4 linked regions of the Macaca mulatta genome follow. The protein of the gene in region 2 purifies or fractionates together with the protein of the main gene of each other region. This does not show direct contact. Links are inferred from orthologs where the notes say so. Each region holds a gene or a part of one and is shown on either strand. Other genes may lie near its edges.

Region 1 (4,778 bases), about 120 Mb from region 2:
CAGGAGTGGGTAATGTAGTAAATAAAGTAAATAATTCCGCCTCCCTCTAGTTTTCGAAGCTTCTTTCAAAACCTAGCAGGCAGTTCACTATTAACTTTCCTTATCTACCTACCACTTTGGGTAGAACTGACAATTCTCTTCTTTGTCCTCCTAATGAATGTGTTATGTCCTATCCTAGCACCAATCACGTTTAAGTGTGTATTCCCAAGCATTTGAGACATTAGGCTCACCATTACAGGGGAGGAAACCTTTCTAGGTTCTTCAGCTGGTCTATAAACTAAATTGATACCAGCCAGGTTAACAGGAGAAAAACAGTTTTAATTATGTATGTATGCACAAGAGTCCCACAAAATATGAGACTCAAAGAAGGGCCAGATATTTGACACTTACATTACAACCTGGCCTCAGAAAGGAAGTGGGGGCCCGGTGTGGTGGCACGAACCTGTAATCCCAGCTACTCAGGAGTCTGCGGCAGGAGGATCCTTGATCCCAGGAGTTGGACGCCAGCCTGGGCAACACAGCAAGGCCAGTCTCTTTAAAATAAAAGTGGGGCTTGGGGCTTCCAGGGGGTGGTGGAGACAAGTTAAGGGAGGATAAGAGGAGAAAACGTAAGATGAATAAAGGTTGACGTTTATGCAGATAAAAGTATCTCATCATACTAGTTGACTAGGAGCAGCTCTCTTTCTGGTACAGATTCCTTTAATTATGAAAATTTCCTTTAGAAATGTACATTTCTCTTTACAAAGGGACAGTTTTATCCTTTATTTTAGGCAGTAGTGGGATAAGTGAAGCATTTTCCTGTGTTGGCTGGATCTTATTTTTGCTGAAAGACATCAATATGCCAGAGTGGCATATTTTGGGGTGGCATATTCTGGACTCCTTCAGTTATAATTTGTGGTAGTGTGTCCTGAGCCCCAACACAATGAAATCAATCAACGTTCACCCTAACTAAAGGGGCTTTCTTAAATATTCTAGGAGAACCTCTCCACCATGCATAGACCGTAAAAAATCCTTTAAAATTCAACCCAAAGGATAGTTTTAAAACGCGGCTTCCTCCAGGCACTTTTAATTGTTCTTAGACAGATGGCCAAACCTAGTTATGCGAACCGCATATGCTAAGAGAAAACTGACTAGAGCGCCAAGAAAATGATGATTGGCTGCCGGAGCTCAGAAGTTGCATGTTCTTCTCTGGCCAAAGCAGGCACTAGGAAACTGCTGAAGGTTCAGTTTTTGAAATACGGTTTTTGCATCGTAAAGAAAAAAGATCAACCTATCAGGAAGAACCGAGCACATCCAATCGCCAATCAAGAGCGGGAAAGAAGCCAAAGCCTGGGGATACCCACGCACCAACGAGGACGTCATTCTCAAGCCCCCGCCAATGAACAGCGGGACGGGGGGCGGGGCAATAGGCGGACCCATTGCCCTAGAAAACAAACAAGCTGCGGTACAACTGTCCTCACTAGCCCTCTCTTCCGAAGCTACTGCAGCCAAGCCCTCAGCAAGGTGCTGATTTAATGCTTTCTATGCTTTGTGCGTGAGGCTAGTTACAGTGGAGTATCCCCTTCCCACTAAAGTAAGGCACTTCTTTCCAGTGCCTCCCCGAGAACTGCAGAAAGCACACTGGAACTTCTAGCTTTCCACCTTCACAGCAACCGGGAGCCCCGCGCTACCTGAGGGGGAGGGGCGGCCCTGGTACGCAGGCGCGCATGCTTTGTCGGGGGCGAGGCTGTGGCGGCCCGAGGTAACCTGGGAGCTGTATTTCTTAGGCCGGCGAAACCGCCCTGGCCGCTGAGGCCTTCGGGACTACATTTCCCAGGAGGCCCCGCGACCATGGGGCGGGCCGGTGAGTTCGTTAATGAGCTCGAAGAAGCCACGGCGCGGCCCACCAGGTTCCAAAACAAGGAAATGAAGAGGGGAGGCGGGACTGGGGGTGCCTGTGGGAGCCGCCGCCGCCGTCGCGGAGGAGGAGGAAGAGGTGGAGGAGGTGGCTGCTGCGGCCGCCGAGGAGTCCCTTGCTGAAGGCGGACCGCGGAGCGGCGGGCGGCGCGCGCGCGCGCCCGAGAGGCGTCTGTTGGAGAAGTGGAGCGGCGGTCGCGGGGGGAGGAGGAGGAGGGACTGAGCGGCGGCGGCCCCCGCGTCCCGTGCCTCTATGGGGGAAGCAGACAATGGATTATGATTTCAAGGCGAAGCTGGCGGCGGAGCGGGAGCGGGTGGAGGATTTGTTTGAGTACGAAGGGTGCAAAGTGGGACGCGGCACCTACGGGCACGTCTACAAGGCGAGGCGGAAAGATGGGTAAGAGCAGGGGCGGGAGGAGTAGGCTCTCTCGGGTCCTCGCCCTGCCCGCGACCTGGCGGGATGGGTGGGTCGGATCCCAGTCGGGCCGTGCCCGATGGGCGAGGCGGAGGGGATCGCGGGGTCGCGTCCCGACACCGACTCCGAGGGGCGCCCATTCCGCCCGCCTCCCCCGCGCGGTCGCCGTCGCGCCCCTCGAACTCCCGCGGAGCAGCTCGGTCCGAGGCGTCGGTCCCGTCCCAGAGGGACGCCCTCCGAGTGCTCGGAGACGGCGGCGGGACTCGAGTTGGGACCGCGGTGGAGGAGGAGTTTTGGGGTCTGGTCTCTTGGGGGAACGCAGCGGGCAGGCAGAGCTCCGCCGCGGAATTGCCGCTCCGGCCCTGTGTAGTGACGGTCGTTGTGGAACTTCCAATCGGCTGAGCGCCTCGCGGGGGCGGCGGTTTGAAACCTCGCCGGGGAGCCCGTCGGACGAACACGGCCTGGGGTCCTCGCCAGCCCGGCGGCTCTGACCCGCTGGGCACCGCCGCCCCCGGCCGCGATCTCCGCCCCCTGGGGCTGGCCGGCCCGTTGGCCCCTCTATGCGGTACTCCCATCCCTGTCGTATGCCCGGCGTCCCGGATTTTTCATTCTCACATTCTGAATTGCGTACCTTCCCCCTTCGAAGGAGACCTGATGGGCCAGCTGCGTTTCGCAAGCAGTAACTTAAGAGTTGGCTCAGTTCTCTGCTAACCACCCTTTACCTCGCAGCCCCTTGGCTATCTTGGGTATTATGTCCTCCACTCCATCCTCTGCCCGATGACTGTGGGCTGGGGCTTATCGAGTACCTAGATTATCAGGAAGGGAATACAGAGTGACAAAGCTGGGCCTGAACCTTTGTTTTCCTAGGAGTTGGGGGAGAACTGTAGGAACACCTTGGGAAGGCTTTACTGATTGTCCTCTTAAGATAAGAAGAGCTGAATAAAGTACTGAGAATGCCTATCCTTACTTGGTCCTGGAGGGCAGACAGCAGCTACAGCAGGGCCGGTGGAACCAGCTTCCTGGCAGGAATTACCCTCCCCCAAGGTTAGGGACCCAGGAAGATACCCTGTCCAGCATAGACTTTAAAGAGAGTCAAACTCTACGGAAGAGGATTGTAACGGAATATTTCTGAATACACTGATGATCAGCCACAATGACATTAGTAAAATTTGAAGTGCTGCTTATCTTTGTGCGCGCTGTTATAATTTGATGTGGTTGGTATATGAACTCTAGGACCAAAGTAGGTTGTATGCGTATGCACTAATTTCATAAAACAAACAACTCTAGTGTTTTGTCATAAGGTATCGTGAAAATTGCAAAGTACTATCCAAGTGTAAAGGATTATTATTGCAGAGTTTTTTTTTTCTCTTGTAATAACTTGAACAGGCCTCAAGGTACTCAGTTGTTTCTCATAATTCCTTTAATTACCAGGTGTCCTTGAATGCTTATCATAGAATGTGAGTTACTATAATTAACATATTTTGGTTTTGGAATATCCACTCTACCTGTTATACTAGTGTTCTTGTGGGAATTTTATCAGATATATTTGGGGAAAGCACATCCAGTTTTCCTGTTTGGACACTTAATAAATCTGAGGTGGGTTTTTCCCATACTCCTCATGCTAACTTTGTAATATACTTTAGGTTTTAAAAAATGTATTTTAGTGGGGTTTTTTGTTGTTGTTGTTGTTAAAATAGCTTTCTCTTATTAGGGAACGTTTGAGAAGTTAAAAATTCTGCTTCTGAATTGTATTTGAATAGTATGGGCTTATAACAAAAACCAGATAATTCCTGCTTCTATATTTTTTGAATATTTTTCCCCTCTAATAAAGTGCTTGATTCGAATACACTTCCTTTTTGAGTGAAATTTGTTAATTAGAATGAATAAAGCTTCTTTACTAGAGTAAGATTAGTTTGGTTGTCTTCAAAATATAATGCTCTTTTTTTCTTAAAAAAAAAAAGTCTCAGGGTCTGAAAGTGTTAGTTTAAATCACTATGTTATGTATAAGAAAAACCATAATAAAGGCTTTTTTCCTGGATGAAAGATCTGGTTGAGATTTGCAACTTTACAGTAAACACCCACATCTCTTGTGGGTTGGTAGTGGGATTAGTTTTATGTTCATTGATACCAGCAATCTGAAAGAACATCTGTGTCCTTTGGGTTCATGTTAAATTTTTTTTTTTTTTTAACTGTTCTAAACTGCGAGGCAGATTTGCATAGTAAAGGATTTTACACTCTGATCATGGTAGATTACAGTTTAGCTCTTTCCAGATTTTATTTTGGTTAACTCAGAAAATGCATAATGCTGTTTTAGGGAGCCAGACATCACATAGGTTACATTAAAGAGAAATGATTTTGGTATATATAATGTAGTATATAACCAAAACATTGTTCAGGTCTTTAGAAGAAACATTGAAAGAAGTAACTTAATATATCATTAGAAAAGTTTAATACTACAGTTTGCAAA
Region 2 (4,157 bases):
AATGAGGTCTTGAGGTGTTGCCCAGGCTGGTCTCAAACCCCTGGGCTCAAGTGATCCTCCCACTTCAGCCCCGCAGAGTGCTGGGATTACAGGTATGAGCCACCACACCTGGCCTCCAGTCCTTCTCAGTTTCAACAGATATTTATGCCTACCTGATTCCGGACTCCAAGGCATCTGTGCTTTCTCTCCGTGAATCTTTTATCCTTCAGAGACTGAGACTCTCTAACACAAGGTGGGAAGTAGGAAGTGGGAAGCTGGGTTCAAAGCAAGCAGAAAGCTTCATTAGGAAGGGTGGCTTGCTAGAGAAGGGAAAAGATAGTCAAGGAAGGCAGGTGAGTTATGATATGGAGGGACAGTCACCCATGAGAAGAAGTACTGGAGCAGACCAAGACAACTCTTGGAATAATTTTCTGGAGGTGGGCCCTAAATCACATATGCCCATATAGCTCTCCTTAGTATGCTTTAAGATAGGTATCAAAAGTTGGGAAGCAAAAATATGCTTTTCCTTTTGACATGCTGTCTGCATTCTTTCATGGAGAAAGAGGTGTTTGTGTGTGAGATCACTTCATCTGTGACCCTGAGAGAGAGAGTGTGTGTGTGTGTGTGCGCGCATACATACACATATATAGTGACAAGGAGTGAGAGTGGCAGTGTGGCAGTAGCTGGCTTCTTTGGGACCAGGGAAAGTTCACAACTTACAATGTGCCCAGCACTAAGATAAGAAAACAAGTAAGCTTGCAGGGTCTACCCTTTGAAAATTTGTGATTTATTTATTGAGTGAGGCCGAAACACACAAACTATTTTTGAAGTTAGTCTGAAAATGCCATAAAAGAGGCAGTTTGCTCTGGGAATTCAAGCCAGTATGAGCACTGCTGACTTTGGTTGTGATGCTTCCTGGAGGATCAACATTTATGTAGGGATTTAAAATGTAGAAACATGGGGATAGAAAAGTCTAGGAAGAATCCCACTTGGAGAAAAGGGCATTAGTGGTAGTTTCTGCTCAGCAACCTCTAGGACCAAGACTTCCTAACCCTTTCAGCTTGTGATAGACCTTGGATTTGCTGAGACCTACTGAGGACCTACTGTTTATCCTCCACATTTCTAATCTTGTAGTAGAAACACACCCCACCTGTTTATTTACTTGTTTCTCCTTAGGGTTGCCAGTAATTTTGCCCTGCCATCTCTCCAGTAAATAATTAAGAGAGCAGAAGGAGAAAACCTAAGATGTATATTTTTTGGCCCATGCCACACTATTTGGGAAATTCTTTCTTAGGGTTGGAGCCCAGGTTGGTTCTACCTAGGGAGTAAAATATGGTCTTGAAAAAAACTCATAAGCATTTGTGTCTACTCTGCTCTCTACTTACACCATCACACACATTTCCTTCTCTTTATCTTTGTCATGTCTCTTAGAATTTTCTTGAGCTCTCCTTGAATCTTTACCCAGCATAGCAGGGACAACACAGTCCTGAGATCATCAAAAGGGGCCCAGATCTGCTTCTGGATCCTCTGGGAGGGCTGCAGGTTGGCACAGCTCCAGAAAGAGAAATGTCAAAGATGCCTAAAGATGTGGGTGTTGAGCCCAGTGTTTGGGTTGAGTGTTTCCTGTGGACCAACACTGTGCTAGGAGGTGTGTGTCTTTAGCTTGGGGTTGGGGAAGATGGGAGCAGGAGGCAGGAGGTGCAAGAGAAGCAGACCTTGTCTTAGCCTTCATTCACCCTCATTCTCTGTGCTTTTGGTTCCCAGGTGGAGTATGGCCCCTGTGTGGTAGCTAGTGACTGCTGGAGCCTGCTGCTTGAGTTCCTACAGAGTTTTCTAGGCAGCCACACACCAGGCGCTCCCGCAGTGTTTGGGAACAGACATGATGCAGTCTACGGCCCAGCAGATACCATGGTCCAGTACATGGAACTCTTCAACAAGATCCGCAAGCAGCAGCAGGTGCCGGTGGCTGGGATTCGTTAGGGATAAGCAGCTGCCAGCTGAGCTCTGTCACCAGGGGTACTCCACAGGAGAAGCAGGTGCTGACTCTCAGGTCCCCGGACCCCAGAAACCCAGGGTAGACATGGAATCTACTCTCCTTCTCTGGTTCCCAGCTGTGGCTTTTGTTCTGGGGCTCTGGAGTCCCCTCCCCAACCCCCTGACTCTCACACAGAGCCCCCCATCAGCTGTTTTATTTCATTCCTTACTGGATTTGGCCTATCCTCAAGAATGGTAATTATGAAGAATGGAGAAGTTTGGACCCTGCCTCCTTTAGGGGAAAGGTAGGACAGGAATGTCCCTGCCTGGTATTGGTGGGGGAAACAGTCTGTATCCTCAACTATTGGGGATTTGTCTCAGGCCCACCGTGAACATGCTGCATTTTATGTTTGGATTGTGCTGTAATAAGAGCCTCTTCCTTTTGTCAGAGGATGTAACTGGGCTTCTATCCTGGAGATAGAGTGGAAGGCACAACTGGTTTGATAGTTACCATTTTCTGACCTGTTTGCTGAAGTGATTTGCGAATTGACTTTCCTAGGATGTTGCCTGAGTCCTTTGAACTCTCCTTCTGACATCTTTCCCTTCTGTTGTGAAATATGTTAAGCCACAGGCCAAACTGCTGTAAGATTGAAGTTTGTTTTTTTCTCACCTAATAATAGAGAGGTAATCAGATGGTCTAGGGCAGATTTAACTCTACAAGGTTATCAGGAACTTGGTTTCCTTCTGTCTTATTCAGCCATTCCCAGTATGTTTTCTTACCCACAATATCAAAGAAGACTCATCAGCTCCATATCTGCATTCTCCTGGGGAAAGAGAGAGAGAAAAGATATGTTTTTTTAAAAAAGATAGGACTGAGCATTGCTCAAATCACTGTGGCCACACTTTGCTGAAAGAGATGCTGGGACATAGAGCCTCTTATCTGGGCAGTCATGTGCCGAGTTAAGACTCAGGGATGCTGTGACTACAAGATGAAAGAGAATTTGGTTGCTGAGACCCAGTTAATGGCCTCTGCTACATGGAGCTCAATGGACATGCCCAGGAATGCTCTTGGCTGTTCGTTTGCAGTTAATACCTCCTGTAACTAAAGCATTCGTTTATGAATTGACTTGCGAGAAGGGCTGATCTCAGAGTCACTTTGAGCTAAGTTGGATTAGTCACAGTAGGAAGTTAATTCCACACCCTTCGTCTAAGTCTCAGTATTGAGGCCTCTCCAGTTCTCATGCACCCCAATCTTAGGGTTAGAACATTTGACCCTGATACGTGCACCATGCTTCATGGTTGCCTGAGCTCCTTCTTCTGTTTCATTCGAGCATCCAAACTACATATTTGGTCATATTGCCTGCCTACCCCATGCCTGCTGCAGAAATATTCATCCAGGTATAACCTTGATATACACAGAGATGGTCTTAGGAGAATTGTTAATATACGTACTGTATTGTCATCAAGGATACTGTCCCTTATTTGAAGACATCTAAAGAGAAACTGTCTTCAGATCCAAGTGCTCAGATCTAAAGCCTCTGCAAAAGTCAGGTAGTGGTCATGTTTCCCTTCTAGTTTTGGCTGACAGGAAGCTCAATTCAGTATCATAACTACAGAACCTGTCATCTGTATTTTTTGTTCTCACGCCCTGTTTTTGTTATTTTGTTTCTGGTTTTTTATATTGAGGTATGTTTTAGATATTGTTTACACAAATAAAATGCACAGATCTTGTGTTTTTGGCCTCCTGATTTACATTTGCTCTCACCCAGGTTTATTTATTTGTATTTTTCTGTAGGCTGCAGCTTTTATGGAATGAAACAATGCATAGGCAACATTTTGAACACAATGCATTTCCTGAAAATCTCCAGAAGTTGATTGTAGTAAATACAGACTCTCTAGACTTGTGCATTGTAAGGAGGGACTCTGTTCCCTAAAAGCTAAAAAAAAAAAAAAAAAAAAAAAATTATAAAAACTTTGCCTTTATTTTGTTTTATTAGTATTATTTATTTATTTATTTATTTTGAGATGGAGTTTTGCTCTTGTTGCTCAGGCTGGAGTGCAATGGCACGATCTCGGCTCACTACAACCTCTGCCTCCCGGGTTCAAGCGAATCTCCTGCCTCAGCCTCCCAAGTAGCTGGGATTACAGGCGTGCGCCACCGTGCCCAGCTAATTTTATATTTTTAGTAGAGATGGGCTTTCTCC
Region 3 (4,798 bases), on a different chromosome or scaffold from region 2:
AAATGGGGATCCTGACATCCATGTTCTAGACCTCTTTTTGTGGATTGAGACAGTGACTGTAACTCTGTTCCCTGTATCTACTTTTATTCCATGGTAGTTGTGGTAATTACTATTATTATTATTATTACTATTACTATATTATCTTTCCCCAGATGACTCTAAGGGTATACAGTCTCTTCAAGCACATCTGGCCCTATTCTAACAGGCCTTTTTCTCCTCCATGCTCTACCAGAACTCCTGGACTTTCCCTTAGTTGGAGAGGTTCATGGTTAGAAGGAAGAAAACCCTGCAACCCACTCCCTCCCTTTGCTCTCTCTCTGGGGCATCGTGGGCAGCTCTTGCTGCAGAGAGCTGTGCTGAGGCCCTTTACCTGTACAGCGGACCCTCCAACAGCACTTCTGTCTATGGTCCTACTCGGCAAGGATCTGCCTCCACACAGCCCTCCCAATGTGCCTGAAAATATCAGCAGTGATCCTTTCCCTGGCCACCTTGCTCTTAAGGCTCCTGTTCATAGTACTATGTGGATGTGGACCTCCTCGCCTCTCTGCACTGCCCATGATGGTGGATTACAGCAGAATGGGCTCGCCAGTTGACAGCTTTCCCCACTCATGTCTTCTAACTAGCTAAGCTTAGGGTGGCTGTCCCCATTGCGCAGAAAATTGCTACTTAGCCCTCATAGCAAACTTGTTTTGAGAAGCATAACCATAAACCCATCTTTGGCCTACGATCCTAGGGAGTCCTCATGCCAACAAGACCTTTTGGGGTCAGCCACGAATGTGAAGTTAGAATGCAGTTTAGGCTCTGCCATGACTCTGAACTAAATATGATTTTAGGGGTGAGGAAACTGGGACCTAGGGGTTTGAGGAACTGGCCCGAAGGTATGGAGAGTACCTGACTTTGTCGTTCTTCCAGGATATGATATTTATTCCTGGCACGAATCCCCTCTACCTTGTATTGAAAGCAAGGACAGCCTCCCTGCAACCACACATTACACCTGGCCATCCAGCAGGTGCATACTAAAAGTGTGTTGAGTTGAATTATCAGACTCTCAGCAGCCATGCAGCACTGAAGGGACCGCAATCCCTTTGCCTCTGCGTCCTTAGGGCTAAGCAGGAGGTCTCGATGTCTCGCACTGTGGGCCGGGCCGGGTTTGGTGCCTCAGCCAGCAGGTAAGTGCTGTCTACGCCTCCTGCAGGTCCAGTGGTTCCTCTCCAGACTTGGGTGCACTGGGCCAGGCTGCGCCTTACTGACCTCAAGGCTTCCTGTGTTTGTGGCTTTGGGGCCCTCTTCATCGTGTGAATAGGAATAAGAAGATTGTTATTTCTGGCCAGGTGCGGTGGCTTGCGCCTGTAATCTCAGCACTTTGGGAGGCCGAGGAGGGCGGATCACCTGAGGTGGGGCGTTCGAAACCATCAACATGAAGAAACCCCGTCTCTACTAATAATACAAAATTAGCCGGGCGTGGTGGTGTATGCCTGTAATCCCAGCTACTTGGGAGGCTGAGGGAGGAGAATCATTTGAACCCGGGAGGCGGAGGTTGCTTTGAGCCGAGATCACGCCACTGCACTCCAGCCTGGGCAACAAGAGCGAAACTCCGTCTCAAAAAAAAAAATTGTTATTTCTGAAATAAATCCCCTATTTCTCACTATTTAATAATATTTAAATAATTTTGGGTCTTGACTCAACCCAAAACCAGGCACCCCAGACCCACCCACGGCCCGTCGCCTAGCAACAGTCTCCCCACCCCGCCTCCGCCCCGTTGCCAGCCGAGTGCCCAGTGCGCATGCTCAGAGCCTTCCTCCACACTGCGCCCCTGCAGGGCGCGCGGTGGTGACGTATAGAGTTCGCGACGCTGTCGGCGACCCGACCTCTGGGTTAACCTAACCCCGGAGCCATGGCCTCTGCTGGGGTGGCAGCCGGGCGACAGGCGGAGGATGCATTGCCGCCAACGTCCGACCAGCCGCTGCCTGACACCAAGCCGCTGCCGCCCCCTCAGCCGCCGCCTGTCCCTGCGCCTCAGCCGCAGCAGTCGCCGGCGCCACGGCCTCAGTCACCTGCCCGCGCGAGGGAGGAAGAGAACTACTCCTTTTTACCTTTGGTTCACAGCATCATCAAATGGTAAGAACCTAGGAGAGGACCAGGCCCCATACTCCCTCCAGCTTCTCGTCTCAGCCGTTTCAGAGCTTCAAGAGGCCTTGGCGCTCTAGGGCACGCCCCCGTTTCGCAGATGGGGAAACTCAGACCCAGAGCGGGAAGAGGCCTTTCCCAAGACCACAGAGACATTCCATGAGTTAAGCAAACGATTTGAGCCCCGAGAGGTGCGATATCCTTAAGAATGAAGCCAGCTTAGAGACTACATACAGACTCTTGTCCAGCGGCTCAAACGTGCATCCCATCGATCTTGAGCAAATTAAATCTCTTTAAGTCTCAGTTTTCTCACCTTTAATGTTAGTAATACTCACTTTAGTTCCTTATTTCAACAGACTCAACAGATAAGCATCATCTTCCCTGTGTGGGACACTGCCAAGTGCTATGGGATGGACACAGTAAAAGGGGCATAGAAGGAAAAAAAAAGACATGATTGGGAATAACCCATAATTCAAAAAGATTGAGAGGGGAGCGGTGGCGATGGGAAATATTAGACTAAGCAAAAACACAGAAGTTGCCTGAGATGATTAGACCCACCTGTACTGACTTTGTTCCAACAGTACCAAAGGAGATAATTGTCATCCTTTTGGCCAGCCTTTAGGGTAGCCTGAGTTTTCAAAGTGACTCTGTAAAGGAAAAACCAAAAACAAAAGCACGAAAGTCTTACTGATCCCAGTGTTTGCCTAAATTATTATTTTTTTTTTTGAGACAGGGTCTCGCTCTGTCACCCGGACTGGAGTACAGTGGCGTGATCTCGTCTCACTGCAGCCTCAACCTCCAGGCCTCAAGCCATCCTCCCACCTCAGCCTCCCAAGTAACCGGAACCACAGGCATGAGCCACAGCACCCAGCGAATTTTTGTACTTTTTGTAGAGATGGAATTTAGTCGTGTTGCCTAGGCTGTAAATTATTTTCATTATGTTACTTCACTCTATATCCACGTGATAGTAGGTGTAAACCCTTAGGCTTATAACTCTTATTCAGCCATTAAAGACCACAAAGTAAATTAAAAGAAAATTACGAATCCAGTAACATTCAGGTGAACATGAATGTGCTCTTCACTGTTTTACTGAAACGGAATTGTTACAACGTGAAGGTCTTGACCGTTAGTGGCCCACCCACTTTTGAGTTTAAGCAAACTAGATTCACTTGCTGTGGGATGACCTGATGCTCTTCTGCCACTTTTCAAATAACTACAAAGGCTTTGTTCTCACATTAGACCCTGGCTTCATTTGGCTTCACTTGGTGTTTACTGTTTATAAGGGCCGGGCGTGGTGTCTCATGCCTGTAATCCAAGCACTTTGGGAGGCCAAGGCAGGCGGATCACGAGGTCAGGAGTTTGAGACCAGCCTGGCCAACATGGTGAAACCCTGTCTCTTACTAAAAACAAAAATTAGCCAGGTGTGGTGGTGGGTGCCCGTAATCCCAGCTAATCGGGAGGCTGAGGCAGGAGAATCACTTGAACCTGGGAGGTGGAGGTTGTATTGAGCCGAGATCATGCCGTTGCACTCCAGCCTGGGCAACAAGAGCAAGACTCTGTCTCAAAAATAAATAAATAAATAAATAAATTTAAAAAAATGTTTCTGGGATAAGACAGCCTGTTCAGTTTTTGTGAGCCTGTGATAATGATCACAGACAGAAATACGTATGGAGCCCCTATAATCCCAGGGCAGTGCCGGATTATAAAGGGTTTAGTCAGATTAACCCCAGTTTACTGGTTTTAAGAAAAATGTGGAAAAAGGAAAACACAAAATGTACACATTCACAAAGACAGCTCTTGAACCCCCCAAGAGTATATTCTTGAGCCCTGGTAAAGCAGCTGGATTGGGCTGGCCTTAAAGATGTAGTAGTAAGTTATACTACAGAGAAGAGGCTTTGAAGTTAGACAGTCCTGAGTTCAAATCTGTATACTGACATTTTCATGCCTTCTAATATTGATATAAATGTCTAACCTTTCTAGGCCATAATCTTCTTATCTCTAATATGTCCATAGTGGACCTCAAAAGAGAGGTTTAGATTATGTAATAGCTCTATAATGTGCTGACTGGGTGACCTGGGCAAGTAGCTTAGCTTCTCTGAGCCTGTTTTTCTCTTATGAAATGGGAATGCTTATGTCATAGGATTGTTGGGAGATGTACTCAAGAGCGTACCTGTGAAACCTAGTGGGCTGATCACATGTGCTTGTCTCTGTTTCGTCTAAAGGGACACAGAAGGGACTTAAAAAAAAAATACATAAAACCTTCAGATGCAGTGGCTCATGCCTGTAATCCCAACACTTTAGGAGGCTGAGGTGAGCTGGTCGCTTGAGCCTGGGAGTTCAAGACCAGCCTGGGCAACATGGCAAAACCCCATCCCTACAAAAAATACAAAAAAAAAAAAATTAGCCAGGCGTGGTGTGTGCCTGCAGTCCTGGCTACTTGGAAGGCTGAAGTGGGAGGATCACTTGAACCCAGATCATGCCACTGTACTTTAGCAAGGGTGACAGAACGAGACCCTATCTCAAAAATAAAAAGCATAAAACCGAAAAGAATAGGACAGGAGATGATCGCTACAAAGTGAATGACCAGTGCTAATTCATCTACCAACTCCTAAGCAGCTGGCTTGTTAAACATGGCCTACCCCCAGATCTCAGGAACTCTAGTGCAAGGACC
Region 4 (4,871 bases), on a different chromosome or scaffold from region 2:
TCAGACACAAAAGACAATATCTCATTTATGGCGACACTAGTGAGAAGAAATTAATCCCAGGATGTATTGTGTATGTCTTTAAACTCTATTATAATCTGAAATTCACACAGTAATAAAAGGTCCCTTTTCCCTACCATGCAATCATGCCTCAAGTAAGTCAAAAAATGAATCTTTCAAGCTATTTTATTTCCTAAAACTTAATAATTTAAGCAGCTAACTCCTCTGGTCTAAATTATTTTACCAATTGTTCATGTTCTATGCTCACTGGGGCAACTGAAAGGATACAACGTTTACATACATTCATTTCAATAGTCAAATATGTCTAAACCAAGCTTATTTGTGTTATTTCCTTTTATAGAAATTCTCAGGTTCTCCTTGAAGGTGTTACCGTCTGAGTTCCTAGAGAACAAATCTCAGCTGCAGAATATATAATGTAATTTGAAAGTAAATCAATACTAGAAACAAATTATTTGATCATCATCTTATTATAAAAGATTAAACAGCCACAAATTTTATTTTACCAGGACTAAAATGCATTAAATTACATTTCACTGACATAAGATCAAAAGAACCTCATAAATAGTATGCGATATTTTACCAGAGTGAGGTTACAAAAAAGAAGTCAAACTGAAAAATCCCTGTAATTTTAAAACTCTCCAAAACTATCTCTAAAAGATAGTAATTTTAAAACTCTCTTGACATTTGATCCATTAAAAACAGAAGTTCATCACATAAAGAGAATCATTAAAGACTGATGGAAAACAAACGCCAAGGATTACAAATAATAAGCTCTTTTTTCCAAAATGCAATGTTACTTTTCAGCTGTCACGGATGACTAAGAATGTCCATACATTATACCTTCAACTATCTTTAAATTCAAAGATATTGAAATTATTCTTTCAAATTATTCTTAACAACCTAAATTAAAACCGGACCATGGAGATATAAAATATTTGCTTAAGTACCTCCTGCCAATACACAGTATTAGTTTTCTAATAAAAGTACAACGTTAAAACAAATATGCATATTTTATTAGCTTAAGTTCATAGTTTTTGAAAACAGAAGCGGCTTCTCTCACACAGATTAAAAATAATGCAAAGGCGCTAGAATTTTATATAACATGACAGTGTGGTCAAATGCACTGTAATGTCTAATCTCATGGGATTGGGGATTTTATGAATATGCCCAAAATTACATAATACTGGGGGAAGGAGAGATGGTTTAAAGCTTTTGAGAAATATTGTATGGTAAGTTATCAAACATAATTTTTAAAATATATGTCATTACAGAGTAAAACTTCAACAATAAGTCTAATTAGACATCAACAGAGTCAGCAGTATCTCCAGACGCTGATTTCTCCAGTGCTAAAAAGTACTTTTAAATACGTGCGGCGCCCAGAGTATCAAGTTTTCAAATCCAAATCCCTACCTTCTGCCGATCTGTTCCACTTTATTGTGGCATAAAAGCACTAAAATACATATTCCAAATTAATGAGAACTCTTATCTTCCTCGTAGAGTCCATTGTAAACACTTTTAGAAAGATATTTCAGTAAATCTAAGAAAAATGTTGAATAAATACACACTTTCCTTTCCAACATCCAGAATACTAAAGTATTTATAAATATGCGCCCCCCTCCCCCACACTAGGGAACTTCAGCTTTATGAATTTTTTTTCGTGCTAATGTAGTCTGAACATACTCTCCTAATCTGAAATTTTAAGTGATTAAACATCATATAGCAGGTAACTAAACTGGAATGTTCCAGTAAAGCTACTTCGTTTCTAATAAAATCCAAAGATTATATAATAAGCTTTGACTTTTCAATAATTTTCTATTCTGTCAAAGGCAACAGAGACAACATCCATTTTACAAGAAAACATGGAGTTAATAAAATATATATTATTCCCCCCCACTAAGAACTGCCTTCTCTTTTGTCAATATTACAAGACATTCATCTACTGACAAAGAGAAAAAAACGAACAATTCACTTGCCTGTTAAGAAACTAAATTGGAAGCATTACCACTCATAGGTTTAATTAAGTTGTTACTAGGGAAGAATATTTAAAGCAAAGGGATTATTTAAAGTTCACTGCCAGCCGCTAAATTTGGGGGAAACAGCCTCAACGAGATAGTCCCTATGTCACTTGTCTTCTTCCCCACCACCCACCCTGCACCAAACCCCCATTGTTCTATGTAAAAATTCACAGCTAATAATATCTAAATAGCAACTGCAACATGTATGGTGCAGATGATCCGTATGGGGAACTCTCTCCAGAACCACATTCACTCGCTGCCTTCCTTCCCTCAAATAAAATACAAATTTGATAAAAAATCGATCACAAACTGGGGGGGGAAAGGATCACAGCCTTCCTTCTAGACCGATGGATGACACTCCCGAGGCGGGTGAGGAAATCCCCAGAAGGTTACCATAATAAATCGACCAAGGAAAAAAAAACAAACAGAAACATTTCACCCGGCGTTTTAGAACGCATTTTTTCATAAATCAGCTTTGAAATCCTTGAAAAGTATATAGCCCACGGTGCAGAGGCTCCTCTTCCCTCTTAGCACCGAAGCACAACACAGATGCGGCACGCAGGATTTCTTGTGGCTTTGGATCCCTTGTACACCACTTCCTCCCCAAACCTTGCTGGCGGAGCCAGAGGCCGGCGTCGAGGAAGTCAGAGCCCGGCACCCCGGCGGCCCGCTCTCCCTCCGGGCTACCTGCCTCGGCCTGCGGGAGCGCCGCCCAGCGCGGACACCGGCCCAGACGCACACACTCACCCATCTTTCCTCTTGGCTTTGTAGACGTGACCATAAGTGCCTCGGCCAACTTTGCAGCCCTCGTATTCAAACAGGTCCTCGACCCGCTCCCGCTCGCTGCTCAGCTTCACTTTAAAGTCATAGTCCATTGTCACAGCCTCCGAGGCCGGAGAGCTGGGTCGGGGGGCCGGGGGGCAGGGGTGGGGACCGGGGAAGCACGGGCAGCCGCAGCCCCCGGGAACCCGCCCGCTCTACGCCCGCCGGCCGCAGCACCAGCCCGACTGATGCGGCAAGAGCAGGAGGAGGCCCCGCGAAAGCGCCGGGGACATCCAGGGGGGCAGCGGGGCAGAGGCCGGCCGGGGGTGGAGGAACGGGGAGGATCCCCCGGCGAAGCAGAGCCGAGGGACGAGGGCTGGGGGTGGGGAGCGGTGTCTCTGCCCTTGTCCCCGCGGGCTCCCTGGGCGCCGGCTCCGCCGCTCTCTCCGGTCGCGCGTTCTGCTCCTGCTGCGGCGGGAGCGGCGGGGCGGCCAGGCGGGCTCTCGTCCTCTCACACGCGCACTCACGCCTCACGCGCTCACACACACGCTCACACTCACTCACTCACTCACTCACTCTCCCATACACTCAAACAGAAAGGCAGCGCCGCACAACAGCCGGTACCTCCTCAAAGAGAGGAGGAGGGAGGGCACTCGCGGAACACGGCCGCGGCTGTCGCAAAAACGTCGCGAAGCCTCGGGCTGCCTCCGAACCACCCTCCAACCCGCTCCCGCGGTGGCTGGCCGCCCCTGCTGGCGCTGGCACCCTGAGGACCGTGTGGAGGGAGCAGGGGAGCCGCTGCCCAAAGCTGCCGCAAAACGCAACACGTGGGACCAGCCCCAGCGGTGGCCGGTTCCGAGACTACAATACCCAGAATGCATAGGCCGCCGCCGCTGCCGCCTCTTCTACGACTCCGCCCCACATGGTGGGAATATGGGAGCGTTGCATGTTGGGACTCGTAGTCTAGGGTGAAATTCGTTTCAATCACTTGGGGAAAATTTATTTTTATTTTTATTTTTATTTTTATAGCGATCTAACTAGAGTCTGATTCCAGCCATAAACTTGACCAAAGAGATGCACGTGGGAAGGAGAGTAGCTTTAGAAACACATTTTGTGCCACTCTGAACTCCAGATGTTAAAGGCCACTGTCATCTATAAAAGCGGATATATTTGTAAACAGCTCGCGGGCCAGCAGTTGGGGTACTCTTGGTGTTCACAATCTGATAAGGGCTGCACAATGATGTCAACATACTGACATTACAAGCTCCAGTAAAAGTGAATCAATGACTACTGTCCAAGCTACTTCTAAACATTGTTACTCTTGTGACAGATGACCATCCAACCTTTCCTGTCCATTTATAGGAAGTATTGAGTACAGTACAGCCTTCTGCGATGCTCCCCATAAGAACACCAGTTTCTAGCTATGATTACAGAAAGGATCTAAATCCATGGGAACTAGTTTGTTAATAATTTTGCGGTAGCAGTATGTCCTGCTTCAGGAGTCCTGCTTCAAGATTGATACTAATCTATCATTTTATCTTATCCCTCTTATTTGTCTGTTTTTAATTTTTGGTTTCCAATTGTTACCATTTCCACTAAAGCTCCCCACTTCCCAAAGGGAACTTTGCACTTTTAATGTGAACTTTTTAACACTTTTTTTCCACCTTTCCTGTGTTATTTATCAAATTCCGTTTCATCTTTTATTTCCTCTCCCTTGCTAGATCCTAAGTTGTTATAGGAAGTCATATTTGCATCTTCCATAAAACCTAGTGTCATGCCTTGATAATGATGCACAGTAAACACTTGTTAAATTAATGAATGAATAAACATGTTTATCTCAAAAAAAATCCATATGCATATGATGATGATGAAGATACCATCTTGTGAAAAAACCTCCAAAGGGCTTTCTCTTACATAATTTTTCCTTGGGGAAAATTAGCGACTTCAGCACTGTGTAAAATTAAATTGTTTTTACCTAGCATACTATATAAGTATTTAGTATTTTCGTATACTGGGTTTGAATCCTGTATTATCATTTATTAGTGTGTTCTTGGAGCCTAGAATTTTTTCTTTGCT

What was found. Proteins that work in one complex are often made in the same cells at the same time.
Region 1: the proteins of MED20 (region 2) and CDK19 purify together in Homo sapiens (affinity purification with mass spectrometry; 5 studies listed by BioGRID and IntAct, counting the BioPlex papers as one, with this or other methods). This does not show direct contact. The link is inferred for Macaca mulatta from reciprocal best matches to the Homo sapiens genes MED20 and CDK19.
Region 3: the proteins of MED20 (region 2) and MED9 purify together in Homo sapiens (affinity purification with mass spectrometry; 6 studies listed by BioGRID and IntAct, with this or other methods). This does not show direct contact. The link is inferred for Macaca mulatta from reciprocal best matches to the Homo sapiens genes MED20 and MED9.
Region 4: the proteins of MED20 (region 2) and CDK8 purify together in Homo sapiens (affinity purification with mass spectrometry; 8 studies listed by BioGRID and IntAct, counting the BioPlex papers as one, with this or other methods). This does not show direct contact. The link is inferred for Macaca mulatta from reciprocal best matches to the Homo sapiens genes MED20 and CDK8.

What each region holds. Positions count from the first base shown.
Region 1 is NC_133409.1:15,875,020-15,879,797, reverse strand, and holds the start of CDK19 (cyclin-dependent kinase 19), read left to right. Parts: upstream 1-1,842; 5' UTR 1,843-2,165; coding exon 2,166-2,293; intron 2,294-4,778.
Region 2 is NC_133409.1:140,267,231-140,271,387, forward strand, and holds the end of MED20 (mediator of RNA polymerase II transcription subunit 20), read left to right. Parts: intron 1-1,743; coding exon 1,744-1,959; 3' UTR 1,960-3,684; downstream 3,685-4,157. UniProt on the Homo sapiens protein: Component of the Mediator complex, a coactivator involved in the regulated transcription of nearly all RNA polymerase II-dependent genes.
Region 3 is NC_133421.1:19,031,279-19,036,076, forward strand, and holds the start of MED9 (mediator of RNA polymerase II transcription subunit 9), read left to right. Parts: upstream 1-1,862; 5' UTR 1,863-1,894; coding exon 1,895-2,118; intron 2,119-4,798.
Region 4 is NC_133422.1:6,371,319-6,376,189, reverse strand, and holds the start of CDK8 (cyclin-dependent kinase 8), read right to left. Parts: upstream 2,937-4,871; 5' UTR 2,909-2,936; coding exon 2,781-2,908; intron 1-2,780.